Linked DNA regions of Arabidopsis thaliana. The protein of the gene in region 1 interacts with the protein of each later gene in a biochemical or structural test. Each region holds a gene or a part of one and is shown on either strand. Other genes may lie near its edges.

What was found.
Region 2: the proteins of AT2G41090 (region 1) and PMM form a complex in vitro, tested with the Arabidopsis thaliana proteins (one study listed by BioGRID).

What each region holds. Positions count from the first base shown.
Region 1 is NC_003071.7:17,131,194-17,138,391, forward strand, and holds AT2G41090 (Calcium-binding EF-hand family protein), read left to right. Parts: upstream 1-4,153; 5' UTR 4,154-4,629; coding exon 4,630-4,705; intron 4,706-4,808; coding exon 4,809-5,169; intron 5,170-5,286; coding exon 5,287-5,425; 3' UTR 5,426-5,806; downstream 5,807-7,198. Other genes in the region: EEL (Basic-leucine zipper (bZIP) transcription factor family protein), read left to right, coding at 47-691, 778-849, 935-1,015; AT2G41080 (pentatricopeptide (PPR) repeat protein), read left to right, coding at 1,409-3,361; AT2G41082 (uncharacterized protein), read left to right, coding at 3,632-3,736; TCH3 (Calcium-binding EF hand family protein), read left to right, coding at 6,938-7,013, 7,114-7,198.
Region 2 is NC_003071.7:18,852,418-18,860,300, reverse strand, and holds PMM (phosphomannomutase), read right to left. Parts: upstream 4,627-7,883; 5' UTR 4,426-4,626; coding exon 4,312-4,425; intron 4,220-4,311; coding exon 4,153-4,219; intron 3,755-4,152; coding exon 3,678-3,754; intron 3,595-3,677; coding exon 3,559-3,594; intron 3,433-3,558; coding exon 3,377-3,432; intron 3,293-3,376; coding exon 3,193-3,292; intron 3,113-3,192; coding exon 3,017-3,112; intron 2,932-3,016; coding exon 2,842-2,931; intron 2,744-2,841; coding exon 2,692-2,743; intron 2,601-2,691; coding exon 2,548-2,600; 3' UTR 2,283-2,547; downstream 1-2,282. Other genes in the region: AT2G45810 (DEA(D/H)-box RNA helicase family protein), read right to left, coding at 1-1, 89-465; PLIM2a (GATA type zinc finger transcription factor family protein), read left to right, coding at 1,294-1,428, 1,520-1,648, 1,732-2,148; CPFTSY (signal recognition particle receptor protein, chloroplast (FTSY)), read right to left, coding at 6,899-7,012, 7,101-7,163, 7,259-7,327, 7,443-7,525, 7,618-7,686, 7,774-7,883. UniProt on the Arabidopsis thaliana protein: Catalyzes the interconversion of mannose-6-phosphate to mannose-1-phosphate, the precursor for the synthesis of GDP-mannose.

The DNA.
Region 1 (7,198 bases):
TAGATTGAACCAGGATTACTAAATTGTTATTGTTTTCTGTGTAAAGGCTACATATATGGGTTCTATTAGAGGAAACATTGAAGAGCCTATATCTCAGTCATTAACGAGGCAGAACTCTCTCTATAGCTTAAAGCTCCATGAGGTTCAAACCCACTTAGGAAGTTCTGGAAAACCACTAGGAAGCATGAACCTTGATGAGCTTCTCAAGACTGTCTTGCCACCAGCTGAGGAAGGGCTTGTTCGTCAGGGAAGCTTGACGTTACCTCGAGATCTCAGTAAAAAGACAGTTGATGAGGTCTGGAGAGATATCCAACAGGACAAGAATGGAAACGGTACTAGTACTACTACTACTCATAAGCAGCCTACACTCGGTGAAATAACACTTGAGGATTTGTTGTTGAGAGCTGGTGTAGTGACTGAGACAGTAGTCCCTCAAGAAAATGTTGTTAACATAGCTTCAAATGGGCAATGGGTTGAGTATCATCATCAGCCTCAACAACAACAAGGGTTTATGACATATCCGGTTTGCGAGATGCAAGATATGGTGATGATGGGTGGATTATCGGATACACCACAAGCGCCTGGGAGGAAAAGAGTAGCTGGAGAGATTGTGGAGAAGACTGTTGAGAGGAGACAGAAGAGGATGATCAAGAACAGAGAATCTGCAGCACGTTCACGAGCTAGGAAACAGGTTAAGAACTTGACATTGTGTTTTTACTTAGTTAATATTTGTTTGTTTGTTGTTAGTTGGTCTAGTCATCACATTGAAACTTGCAGGCTTATACACATGAATTAGAGATCAAGGTTTCAAGGTTAGAAGAAGAAAACGAAAAACTTCGGAGGCTAAAGGTAAAAATCCCATCTCTGCAGCTTGCTTCATGATCTAGTGTCGTTTTAGATTTAGTGGTTTTCTTTAATCTGATTATAATGGCAGGAGGTGGAGAAGATCCTACCAAGTGAACCACCACCAGATCCTAAGTGGAAGCTCCGGCGAACAAACTCTGCTTCTCTCTGATCCTAAAGACTCTTCTTTCTTTCTTCTTCTTTGTGTTGGTTTATATCAGACCGCTTTGTTCTTTGTATATTGTGTAGACTTTATTGACTTTGAACAGCATGTCTTTATAAACATTTCTTGAGTGTATTCCTCTTTTGCAGCTAGTTCAAACTTTTTGAGTACAAACACTAGTTCAAGTATGAATTCGACAATAGTTTTAGTACCTTACACAATTAAGCAATAGATTGATGGTTATGCTAAACCGTTTTTGATACTTGGTTACTAATACTTATTGGGCTTCTGATTACGGCCCAATTAAATCGAGTGTCTAATTATTCGTTCCTTCTTCTTCTTCGAGCAACGACAGTCCCTGAGAATCCAAATCGGAAACAATCTCCGGCAATTCAATAGTAAATGCGTTGCTCAGTTTCCTCTGTTGTTCGTCCACTATCAGTAGATCCTGCGACAGCCATAGCTACTTTGTGCTCAAAGGGTAACCTTCGAGAAGCTTTCCAGAGATTCCGACTCAACATCTTCACAAACACTTCTCTCTTCACCCCTTTTATTCAATCATGCACCACCAGACAATCTCTTCCGTCCGGAAAGCAGCTCCATTGTCTTCTCGTCGTCTCCGGATTCTCCTCCGACAAGTTCATATGCAATCATCTGATGAGCATGTACTCCAAGCTTGGAGATTTTCCTTCCGCTGTTGCAGTATATGGACGTATGCGTAAGAAGAATTATATGTCATCTAACATACTCATCAATGGGTATGTTCGTGCAGGCGATTTGGTAAATGCCCGGAAGGTGTTTGATGAAATGCCTGATAGAAAGCTCACAACTTGGAATGCTATGATTGCTGGTTTGATCCAGTTTGAGTTTAACGAAGAGGGTTTGAGTTTGTTTAGGGAAATGCACGGATTGGGGTTTTCGCCTGATGAATATACTCTTGGTAGTGTTTTTAGCGGATCTGCTGGGTTGAGGTCAGTGTCTATAGGGCAGCAGATTCATGGCTACACGATCAAATATGGGCTTGAGTTGGATTTAGTTGTTAATAGTTCGTTGGCTCATATGTATATGAGAAATGGGAAATTGCAAGATGGCGAGATTGTTATAAGATCAATGCCGGTTCGTAATTTGGTTGCATGGAATACACTCATCATGGGGAACGCGCAAAACGGATGTCCTGAAACCGTGCTTTATCTGTATAAGATGATGAAAATCTCAGGTTGTAGGCCGAACAAGATCACATTTGTAACTGTGCTCAGTTCTTGTTCTGACTTAGCGATAAGAGGTCAAGGTCAGCAGATTCATGCGGAAGCTATTAAAATTGGGGCTAGCTCTGTCGTAGCTGTAGTTAGTTCATTGATCAGTATGTATTCAAAATGTGGGTGTCTTGGAGATGCAGCTAAAGCTTTCTCGGAACGTGAAGATGAAGATGAAGTGATGTGGAGCTCAATGATTTCTGCTTATGGGTTTCATGGACAAGGCGATGAGGCAATCGAGCTGTTTAATACTATGGCAGAGCAGACGAACATGGAGATAAACGAGGTCGCGTTTCTGAATTTACTTTATGCGTGTAGTCATTCTGGCTTAAAAGACAAAGGGCTTGAGTTGTTTGACATGATGGTGGAAAAATACGGGTTCAAGCCAGGTTTAAAGCACTACACTTGTGTGGTGGATTTGCTCGGTCGAGCAGGCTGTTTGGATCAAGCCGAGGCAATAATAAGGTCTATGCCAATAAAAACAGACATTGTTATATGGAAAACATTGTTATCTGCGTGTAACATACACAAAAACGCAGAAATGGCACAGAGAGTCTTTAAAGAGATTCTTCAGATTGACCCTAATGACTCTGCTTGTTACGTCCTGCTTGCAAATGTTCACGCCTCAGCTAAGAGATGGCGCGATGTATCAGAGGTGAGAAAATCGATGAGAGATAAGAATGTGAAGAAAGAAGCGGGAATCAGCTGGTTTGAACACAAAGGTGAAGTTCATCAGTTTAAGATGGGAGATCGCTCTCAGTCTAAATCTAAAGAGATCTATTCATACCTGAAAGAACTGACTCTGGAGATGAAGCTGAAGGGATACAAGCCTGATACAGCGTCAGTATTGCATGATATGGATGAGGAGGAGAAAGAATCAGACTTGGTGCAGCACAGCGAGAAACTAGCGGTTGCATTTGCGCTCATGATATTACCTGAAGGTGCACCGATTAGAATAATCAAGAACTTGCGGGTTTGCAGTGATTGCCATGTTGCTTTCAAATATATATCGGTGATCAAGAACCGAGAGATCACGTTAAGAGATGGTAGTAGATTCCATCATTTCATTAACGGAAAGTGTTCTTGCGGCGATTATTGGTAGCTGGGCAGTTAAAGTATGCTATGACTCTCTGCTTCAGAGTCTTTCTGGAGTCTTAAGCACTCAGATTGGATCGGGAAGCCATCTGGGACGAAAGCATTCAGCAGCAAGGGTAAAATTACACTGCGGGTAGTAGCTTTGTAGTCTACCTTGAGATTGCTCCTGCCTGTGTTATTCTTGAGTCAGGAACATGAAGTGGTTTGCTGTCAACTTTACTTACTCAAGCCATCTCCGCAAGGTAGAAACTATGGTTCGCGTTATTTCGTATGTACCATGTTTTTGGTCGTTTGTGTAGTTTCTAACCTTCCACACCCTTGGCTTGCGATTCTTTCCAAAGCAGAGATGTTAGATCAGAGGATGGAGTGGGTTCTCAAGTAGAATGCACTTGCGAATCCCTCAGATCAGATTTTTCATAGGTAAAGTTCGTTAACTTCAACAACACCACTTTAGTAAACATGTGATAATCAATCGTCATAAGCATCTTCGATTCATTTTTATCTTATGCAAGTGTTTGCTTTATTATGATTTGTTAAGTTTTGCATAAATACGGACGTTGAAGCACTTCCCAGAACTCATGAGTGTTTTTATAAACTATTTATTAAAAGTTAGTATAAGAAAACTATAACATAAAAGTAAAATATAATTTAGACAAATGTAGCGATTGGTCCAGTTACTCATCCAAAATTCCAAATGAATCTTCCACCGTTGATAATTCTATTCCATTGTTTTCTTCTGTAGAAGACCATATATTATTAAGTCTCTAGTCCATTGTCAATAAATGGAAATACAAAAAAAAAAAAAAAAAAAAAAAGAAGAAGAAGAAAAAGACAGCATTTAATGAACGAAAATAATATTAATGAATTTGGAAGAAGGAACGAACCAACGAGAAAAATCAACGAAATAATTTAGACAAATGTAGCGATTGGTCCACTACCCATCCAAAAGTCCAAATGAATACTTCACCGTTGATAATTCTATTCAATTGTTTTCTTCTGTAGAAGACCATATATTATTAAGTCTCTAGTCCATTGTAAATAAATGTTTCTTTCAAATAAATGGAAATACAAAAAAGAAAAGAAAAAAAAGACAGCATTTAATGATGATAACGATTTGGAAGAAGGAACCAACCAATTAGAGTAACAAACCAAGGAGGCGACTCACATGAAAGCAAAAGCTGACATGGCAGTGAATTCAGTTTTATAAAAAAGGCTTCAAGGCCGAGAGTTCGTAGTACAAACTCTTCTCTCAGTCATCACAGAAAATAAAAAACAATGGCGAATAAGTTCACTAGACAACAGATTTCAGAGTTTAGGGAACAGTTCAGCGTATACGACAAGAATGGTGATGGTATGGTTCATCGTCTCTATTCCTCTAATCGTACATATTGGATCCTGAATCATCTTCAAAGCACTGAAAATGACTAACACAAGTCCTTGATTACTTCTTGTAGGTCACATTACCACAGAGGAGTTCGGTGCCGTGATGCGTTCCCTCGGTTTAAACCTGACCCAAGCTGAGCTTCAGGAGGAGATCAACGATTCGGATTTAGATGGTGACGGAACCATCAATTTCACTGAGTTCTTGTGCGCAATGGCTAAGGACACTTACTCTGAGAAAGACCTCAAGAAAGATTTCAGACTCTTTGACATAGACAAGAATGGTTTCATCTCAGCTGCTGAAATGAGATATGTGAGGACTATCCTCCGGTGGAAGCAAACTGATGAAGAAATCGATGAGATTATCAAGGCAGCTGATGTTGATGGTGATGGTCAGATCAACTACAGAGAGTTTGCCAGGCTTATGATGGCCAAGTGAGATTTAAACAACTTTTCCGCTTCCCCTTTTTTTACTACCTCTTATCTAATTTCATAAAGAATGTTCCTCTCTTGTTCTTAAATTTCATTCTGAGTTCTTGTGTGTATGGCTAGGAATCAAGGTCATGATACTAAATATGACACAACTGGTGGCACTTTGGAGAGGGACTTGGCGGCCGGGGTTGCCAAAAATATCATCGCAGCGCCAATGACCGACTTCATCAAAAATTTGTTCGAAGCGTTGTTTTCTTGAAATGGTACATCAGTAACTTTATGCCATTAGGGTCTGGCTGGTATGTTAGATCTCTCTAAAAAGGCGTTTGATCTTTGAAAATAATTTCTATGTAATAAATTTATTGTGTTACCATCTTTTCTTGCATGCAATTTATTAAAATGAGTTTGTAATATGGTTTCAGTATCGAATATAATTGGGGTATCAATGTATCTTTTGAGAAAAACATTTAAAACGTAGCAGAACTAATTATTGAAAACTGGTAGCATTACTAAAAATTGATCTAAATCGGTTAATGATTTGGCACATACAGTGATCAAATCAGCTAAGCCTCATATCTCACCGTCCCAGAGTTCTTCAAGACTCTTATAAGGACTCATCTAATGAATAATGACATGCCTCGCACCAACCTGCCCTGCAACATTGAAAACACACGTCTACAATTTCGATAACCCAAGTGTTTTGAGCAAAACAAAGGACGCCCTTTGACCCATTTGGACTACAATGTGTGGAAAATTACTGCATGTTCAATATCAGAAAACTTGGATAACATGTCTTCGATATGGGCTTTTCTTATTTTGTACCCGTGTAATTTCGCTGGCCCAAAATCCAAAGCAACAAGGGTAAATTTGTATGCAGTACATGTGGCATGTTGGGTCATATGGAAACAGGTCACAAGACTCAGATTCTTTACATTGCGGCGGGTAGTAGTAGCTTTCTAGTCTACCTTGAGATTGCCCCTGCCCGTGATTCTTGAGTCGGGCACAGGAAGTGGTTTTCTGTCAACTTTACTTGCTCAAGCCATCCCCGCAAGGTAGAAACTTCTGTGGTCTTTCTCGTTATTTCTTATGTACCATGTTTTTGGTCGTTTGTGTAGTTTCTTCTAACCTTCCACACACTTGTCTTGCGAATTCCTTCCACAGCAGAGATGTTAAATCAGGAATATTCAGGATGTAGAAACTTCTCTGCTCTTTCTCAAGTAGAATGCACTTGTGGAATCCCTCAGATCAGATTTCATTGGTAACGTTCGTTAACTTCAACAACAACACTTTACTAAACATGTGCTAATCAATTGTCATACGCTTGTATTTCTTCGATTCATTTTTATCTTATGCAAGTGTTTTCTCTATTATGATTTATTTAGTTTTGCATAAATAAGGACACTCCTTCGGAGTCAGTATAAGAAAACTATAACCTAAAATATAAATTAGGCAAATGTCCACTCACCCATCCAAAATTCCATTGTAAATAAATGTTTCTTTCAAATAAATGAAAAAAAAAAAAAAAAACAAGTTGGAAGAAGGAACCAACCAAGTAATTGCCAGTCAAAGGAGGCGACTCACACTTGAAAGGATAAGCTGACATGGCAGACAACGATCCTGCGTAGAAATTGCGTGAACGTGGAAAAGTTTGAGGATATAGCCGTCATTTCAAATAATTCGGGTACTATTATATAAGGCTTCAAGTCCTGGTTCGTAGTACAAATTGTCTCACAAACTCTTCTTTCAGTCATCACAGAAAACAAAAAAAACAATGGCGGATAAGCTCACTGACGATCAGATTACAGAATACAGGGAATCTTTCAGGTTATTCGACAAGAATGGTGATGGTATGGTTCATCAACTCTTTCCATTTAATCGTAATGTTGGATCATGATCATCTTCAAAGCAATGAAATGACTAACACAAGTCCTTGATTACTTTTTGTAGGTTCCATTACGAAAAAGGAGCTCGGTACCATGATGCGTTCAATCGGTGAAAAACCGACAAAAGCTGATCTTCAGGACTTGATGAA
Region 2 (7,883 bases), 1.7 Mb from region 1:
ACTGATAAGCATAAGAAAACACATAACCCGTTAAACATCACAACAAGAGCACCATTCATAATAACCATTCTTCCAAACGAGCACTTACTTAGAATCGCTAATAGCTTCAGATTGAACCGTTTTTTCGACCTCATCTATGTAACTTGGATCACCAGGAAGCTGAGCCCGTCGAGACCATTGTTGTTCTTGCTGCTGCTGTTGTTGTTGTTGTTGCTGCTGCAGTTGCTGTTGCTGTTGAATCTGCTGGGGATAACCTCGCTGAACGTACTGCTGAGCATCAGATTGAGACTGGAGATACTGAGGAGGCTGAGGCTGAGGTTGCTGTGGAAACGGAGTCCGTGACTGAAGGTACTGTTGAGGCTGAGGTGGATTCGGATTCCGTGACTGAAAATTAGGATCCGGACCAGGACCCGCCGCACCAATCCCCGGTGGAAATCTTCCTCTATTATTATTATTATTATTCATCTCGATCTCGAAACAGAGAACTCTAATTCTACCAAGAAATCTTCACAAGCTCACAAATCGTAAATCTAAGAAGAGGCTATAAACAACAATCTGGAGAATGTTAGGTCACACGTAGCTTCGTAAGAGATGATTGATTGATTGATTGATTGGACTCTCTCTCTCGGGGGAGGGCAAGATCGGAATATGCTAACAATTATCCACAAAACCGTTTCCGCCAGAAACTAATCGAGCTTAGCTAAGATGAATAATTTTCTTTTGTCGTCTGGTTGGTTAGTGAGAAAGTGAAAGATACATACACTCGCCGGAGTCGTTGTTGTTGTTTAGGTCGTCAAGTGGATTTTCATTACACGGACAGGCTCTTCTTCAGTTTCACTCACTCTTATCCACATTTATTTCACTAAATTAGCCTTGTACGTTCGTATAATTATGAAATAACCCCCACATTTCTTTGTATTTATCATTATTCTCTCGTAATTTTTAAAAATAGATCTTCGGATCTTCCGCAAACAGAGCGTACGGCTGAAAACGTCGATACCCTTCATTGTGCTCGGAGTCTAAAATTGTAAAATTGAAATTAGAATTTTGATGATCGACAATGATTGAATGGCTTCTCCTCTTTCGAATCTCTACCACTAGAACCAAAATTACCACAAATTCTCATTTCTTCAAGAATTTTTGATAAATAAGACAGAGAACTTGAGAGATGAAAAGAAAAAAACACAAAACCTGGTGTTTTTTCTCTCGTCGTCGTTTGGTCGTGTCCTAAGACAAGAACCGGCGAACGAAGAACAAACTTTTTGAATCTAACATCCGAAAGAAAGAGAGAAAATGTCGTTTACAGGAACATTGGATAAATGCAAGGCCTGTGACAAAACCGTGTACGTGATGGATTTGTTAACATTAGAGGGTAATACTTATCACAAATCATGTTTCAGATGCACCCATTGCAAAGGCACTCTCGTGGTATTTCTCTTTTCTTCTTCTTCCTCCATTGTTACTCTGTTTTTCGACAATGCTTCATTGTTTTAAAAGACCACATCTTTTCTTAACACAGATAAGCAATTACTCATCAATGGATGGAGTTCTTTACTGTAAGCCACACTTCGAACAGCTTTTCAAAGAATCTGGCAATTACAGCAAGAATTTTCAGGCAGGAAAGACCGAGAAGCCCAATGATCATCTGGTAATGTCTTCAAAGATTCATCATCTTGTTTTTATTTCCTCTTTTTTTTCATCTGATTTGTCTCAATTGATGGATACTGCAAGACTCGAACTCCAAGCAAGTTATCATCATTCTTCAGTGGAACACAAGACAAATGTGCGACTTGTAAGAAGACGGTTTACCCACTTGAGAAAGTAACAATGGAAGGAGAAAGTTACCACAAGACTTGCTTCAGGTGCACACACAGTGGTTGTCCTTTGACTCACTCTTCTTACGCTTCTCTTAATGGCGTCCTCTACTGTAAAGTCCACTTCAATCAGCTCTTTCTCGAGAAAGGCAGTTACAATCACGTCCATCAAGCCGCTGCTAACCACCGTCGATCCGCCTCTTCTGGTGGCGCTTCTCCTCCTTCTGATGATCACAAACCTGACGACACCGCCTCAATTCCCGAAGCAAAAGAAGATGACGCTGCCCCTGAAGCTGCAGGAGAAGAGGAGCCTGAGCCGGTCGTTGAGTCTTGAAAATGTCGTGGAGGAATGATCTTATCAGTTCTCAAGTTTGAAGTTTTTATATGCGTTTCTGTTTAATGAATATATAAATACAAATTGTTGTTGTTTCTTCTTGTAAATTCTTGTAAAGTTTTAAAGCTCTTTTTGGAGAGAATCTGTTGTAAACAAAATCTTTAACATCCAATTTTTTTTGAAGAGGATATTTTTAACCTTTAGTTTTAAAACTTTGAGGACCATGTTCTGAAACAAAAGGTTATAACAAGATATTTTATTTGATGAATCAAAATTCAAAACATACGGTATAGATAGCATTCAAACACACTTCTCTCCATTTCTTGTAATCAAGAGTTGTGAGATTTCGCCAAAGAAGAATCAAACTCTTGACACTGTGTTCTTGAGATGAGTAGTGTTTCAAGACATGAACAGAGCCTTGCATTTTGCCACTGTGTCATCTGGACTCGTAACTGCAACAACAGAAACAATCCTATTTGTCATGAAAATATCTCGCAACACAAACATACAGAGATTAAACGATAATATATCCAAGTAGCTGACCTGAATGGCCAATTGTTTTTGGTGATTCATAGATTTCATAGTCATTTCCACCCTGCAGAAGTAAAAGCCATATTTTTACCCATCAAGCTCAACGGAAACCATACAACAACTCTAATGAATAGATTTGCAGAGTTGAGATGAGTCTTATACCTCATAGGTCTTGTCACCGAAGAAATGGATTTCACTGAAGTCCTCGAGGTATTGCAAGCAGTAAGTCTTATCCCAACCTTTAGGGAAGACCTAAGTCATAACAATTTGATTAGACTCAGTGACTCAAAAAATGGATTTAAGAAATTGTTATAATCCACATTTTGATTCTACTCACATCGAAGCTTATCTGTCCCCCAATTGAGAAAGTAAGGTTAAGATGTGCAAACCGCTCACGAAGTTCAGCTACCATCTTTGGTCGGATGTTTTGAACCTTTTAAAAAAAGTGTTGAATGACAATGCTCAAAATATATTCTATAAGAAATTGAACAAACTAAATATAGTTTCTTCTACCTTATCATATCTCTCAAATTCATCTCTTTCTTCTTGGCTGCAGTTGCGACCAATGGGTGATACATTGAGCATTCCATTTCGGAATTCAATAAATGTTCCCCTATGTATACAAATTTCAAGAAAATAAATCATCTTATCACTTTGCAAACATGATTAGAGACTAGCAGTTGGATCCACGTTATACCTCTTAATTGGAATATCCAGGTCTGCAATGTAGTGCAGCGTGAAATTTATCAACTCCTGCATCATCAATTTACGCTATCAGAAACTATCTATATACATATATACTTGCATACACTTCAACATCAATAAAACCACTAAAGCAACTGCTGCTACGACACATGAAGGACAGTGATATGAGTTTACCTTGAGTTTATCGTCTCCAAGGTGCAGCTTCAGGCTCTGAGAAAAAAGATACAAACTATTAAGAAACGATAAAACAACAATGTGGATGTAAGTAAGTAAAGCTATAGGTTCATATGCACCTGAATTCCAATGGATTTCCCATCTTTATGGGCGACAAGACCATTCTCAGAGAAACAATAATCATAGTCGTTTGTGACTGCAAAATTTACAAATTCAAAAGTTTAAGCCAAGAGAATCTCACAAGGCAAGAAAATTAGAGCCAGATCTAAAACTCCTTCTTGAACTAAGACTTAGGTAAATCAAACTCATTCCACAATTTGAACTCAACCAACTTAATGATCAGCAGCTATCCCAAATTCCAAATCTACAGACTTCAAGGATCTTCTGTATGCATGCTACTAATGGATCTAGTCAAAGATTTGAAGCAGAGAAAATCTATATAGTTTGTCTCCACTTTTAAAGGATCCATCCATATATAGTAGAAAAGAGCAAAAGAGACCATTCTAATAGAAGTAGGAAAATATCCTTTCTTTGAATACCAAATCGAAAATTCTACAGCAGGTTATAGTTTTTCCGATCCGATCACAGTCGTACCTGTTTTGCCAAGCTGCTCAGATATCTTACTTAGATCAGATCCACCGACGACTCCAATAGTGACGACCTGAAACTCTCACATACATTATATCAAACACTAAGTAGGCATAAACACAACCAACAGAAACGGAACTTAGCAACGATGGATCAATGAGATACCTTTCGCAATTCTCGGATAAAATCGAGCAATTCTGGAGTAGCTTCCTTCCTTGGAGCTGTGAGAGTACCGTCGACGTCGAACAAAGCGATCACTCCGGGAATTTTCGCCGCCATTGAATCCGGTGGTAGGGAATGATGAAGAGTTTTCAAATTAGAAGATGATAATGGCGGAACATGTAAATATATAAATTGGACCGATCTAATCTTTATTCTTTAACCAAAGAGTGTCGCTTAAACTATGGGTCCTCACTTTTTCTCCTAGAGATCAGTGATTGGTTGATAAAATAATCGTGACACATCAAAATTATTCTTTTCTAACAATCCTTATTTATGTTATATAAAGGGTACTTGGACGTTGTTGACCCAAAAAACATGAAATAGTATTGAGGCCGAAAACAATTAATTTTATGAAGAAGCAATTTGGGCCAGTACTACTAATGGTTTTCGCCTTTTTGGGCCATCCGGTTTATATTTGTATATCATTATGCAAATTGGGAAATATGACTTTATAACCAAAAAAAAATTCAAACGAGAGCACTTGACAAAAAAACAAGGTGATATTTGATGTATTTTCACACAAATGATAAGAGGAACAAGAGCGTGCACTTCACACAGCAACGTTTATATTAAACGGTTGTATGCAACGTTTATATTAAACGGTTGTATGCAACGGTAAACCGGAGAATATGTAATGTAACGGTAATATTTTGTTTTATAAAAAAAGGAAATTAATTAACTCACACCAATCTATAAATACGGACTTACTTCATCATTAAGAGATAAGAAAATCTCGCACTAAGGAGAAGAAAAAAACCCTAGAATCGAATCCTCTTTACGTTGAGGATCTTCAAAAGTCTTCTTTGTATATAACCTAATCGATCAGCGGTTCAGAGAAACGGTTATGGTTTTTTCTAATTATATCGTCGGCGCTAGTGAAGATCCGGTGACGAAGACTTGCATGAACGCTATGGCGGTGAAGATACTCGCTCTAGGATCTGTTTTGGCGGTTCTAAGTTCTAATGGTTATTTCAATAAAAATATTCGGCTTCGTGAATCGTAATTCGTGACAATCAGCGACGGAGATCGCGACGGAGAGACTGGGGAATTCGTTTCCGATAACGGTGGTGGTCTGGTGGAGGACTGCTTTGCCGTAAGATTAGAGATGGTGTCGTTTGGGCTCAGGACTAAGGTGCAATTCTTCAAAGCCCAACAATATCAATTTCAGCCCGCCATAAAAGTCAATTCTTAGCCCTATTTTCTTTTTAGCCCTTAAATTACTTAGATTTACAAACTGAGATAGAAGTTATGAATATTTTTTTATAAGGTTTTAAAATTTTGATTTTTTCCCATCTAAGGGTTTTCAAATTTAATTTGGATATTAAATTTATAAAATGATATGAAAGCTGACCGGATTTTGAATCCTGTCATTTGACCTAATCATTTGATCGTTAGCCGATTCCACAAATTCAACTTGTTTTCGCATCGTTTAGTAGATTTAATATACAAGTTATTAATATATTTTTTTTAAAGGTGATTTTTGTTCTTTTCTTTCTTACGGTTTTCAAATTTTAATTTGGATATTAAATTTACAAAATGATATGGAAACTAACCGGATTTTGGATCCTGTCATTTGACCTAGTCATTTGATCGTTAGCCGATTCCACTAATTCAACTTGTTTTTCACATCGTTTTATAGATTTAATATACATGTTATTAATATTTTTCTAAGAGGTTTTTTATAAATTTTATTTTTGTTCTTTTCTTTCTTACAGTTTTTGATCGTTAGCCGATTCCACTAATTTAACTTGTTTTCGCATCGTTTTGTAGATCTAATATACAAATTATTAACATTTTCGAAAAATTTTAAAATTTTTGTTTTTTTTTCTTTTTTATGGTTTTTAACTTTTAATTTGGATATTAGATTTACAAAATAAAATAAAAATTAACCGGATTTTGGATCTTGTCATTTGAAGTCGTATGCCGATACCACTAATTCAACTTGTTTTCACAATGTTTTGTAGAATTAATATACAAGTTTCATATTAATATATTTTCAAAAGTTTTAAATTTTTGTTTTTTATTCTTTCATTTTTACAGTTTTTATTTTTAAATTTGAATATTAATTTTTACAAAATGATATGAAAACTAATCGAATTATGGATCATGTCATTTGACCTTTGCATCGTTTTGTGGATTATATACAAGTTATGAATATTTTTTAAAAAAGTTTCATTTTTTTTTCTTTCTTTTTTACGGTTTTCCTCCCCTCATTGTTCTTTTATCAATCTTTGTAATTCCTTTCAAATACAACATTAACAATATACAAAATAGTAGTGAGACGAGACACAAGCAGTTCCTATGACTCGTTACATTCTTGTGTGATCACTATCAGTGTGCAAACGAGCTTTGTCACATCATTAAAAATCGAAACTTGCATCCATTGCAGAAAAAGCTTGTCAACCTAAGATCTCCAAGAAAATAAGGAATGCTTCCATTTGCATCTCCGGCGAATTCACTGTGAATTTTCCACTTGGCTCTGGCCTGCGTTGAAGATGATAGCTTTTTGAAGAAGACGAGGTTTTATGGCTTAAGAGAATATAGCATTCACAAAAGCCTCCGGATCAAAAGGTTGGAGATCTTCTACAGCTTCTCCTACACCGATAAACTTTACGGGAATGCCCAATTCCTCAACCACACTGACCTGCAAGACATGGAGAACCAGTTTCAATGACAGAGCTAATGAAAAATAAGAGCTTTGAATGAGATCAAAAATTTTATGAGATATTTACCACACAGCCTCCTCTAGCAGAGCCATCTAGTTTCGTCAATATCAAACCGGTGATACCAACAACCTGAAAAAAATGTAACCCAGAAACCTCAAGATTTTACGAAGAAATTCTAGTTTGGGGAGCCAGAATCACTAGGTTTAGGTAGTTTCGTATGGTACCTCGTTGAATTCTCTAGCTTGTGGAAGCATGTTCAAACCAGTGTTTCCATCAAGGACAAGTAGGATCTCCTAACAATTCCGTAAAATATTATTTTTAGCTAACGCATGATCGAAATTGGAGACTAACAGAGTGTAATAATATAAGCAAGATAACAGAATAGGATAAGTAAAAAGGCTCACTCACATTAGGTGCACCAGAGACAATCTTGCCCACTGCTTTTTTGCACGCAATCAACTCCTCCATCAAACTGTAATTAGTATGGAGACCTTACATAAAGAGGTGTAATGTTCCTCAGATTCAGTAAAGACGGTACATAAGCATGTTTTTTAAGTCAGCAAGCAAACTCTTGTATGCTTACGTCCAGATGTGTCGCACAGTACAACATCATAACCTTCCTCCTTCCCCCTTTTCACAGCCTTTGAGAGAACTATTCAGAAACAGAACAAACATGTTAAAGTTGTTTGTGCACCAAACACCGATACTGGCAAGCCAAAATAACAATGCATTGGTTTACCCGTGGCTGCTTTAGCCTTGTCTCCTTCAGCCACAACAATCTCACACCCAGTCCTCTCTGCCCATATCTCTAATTGGTCACTTGCTGCTGCTCTAAATGTATCACCTGCT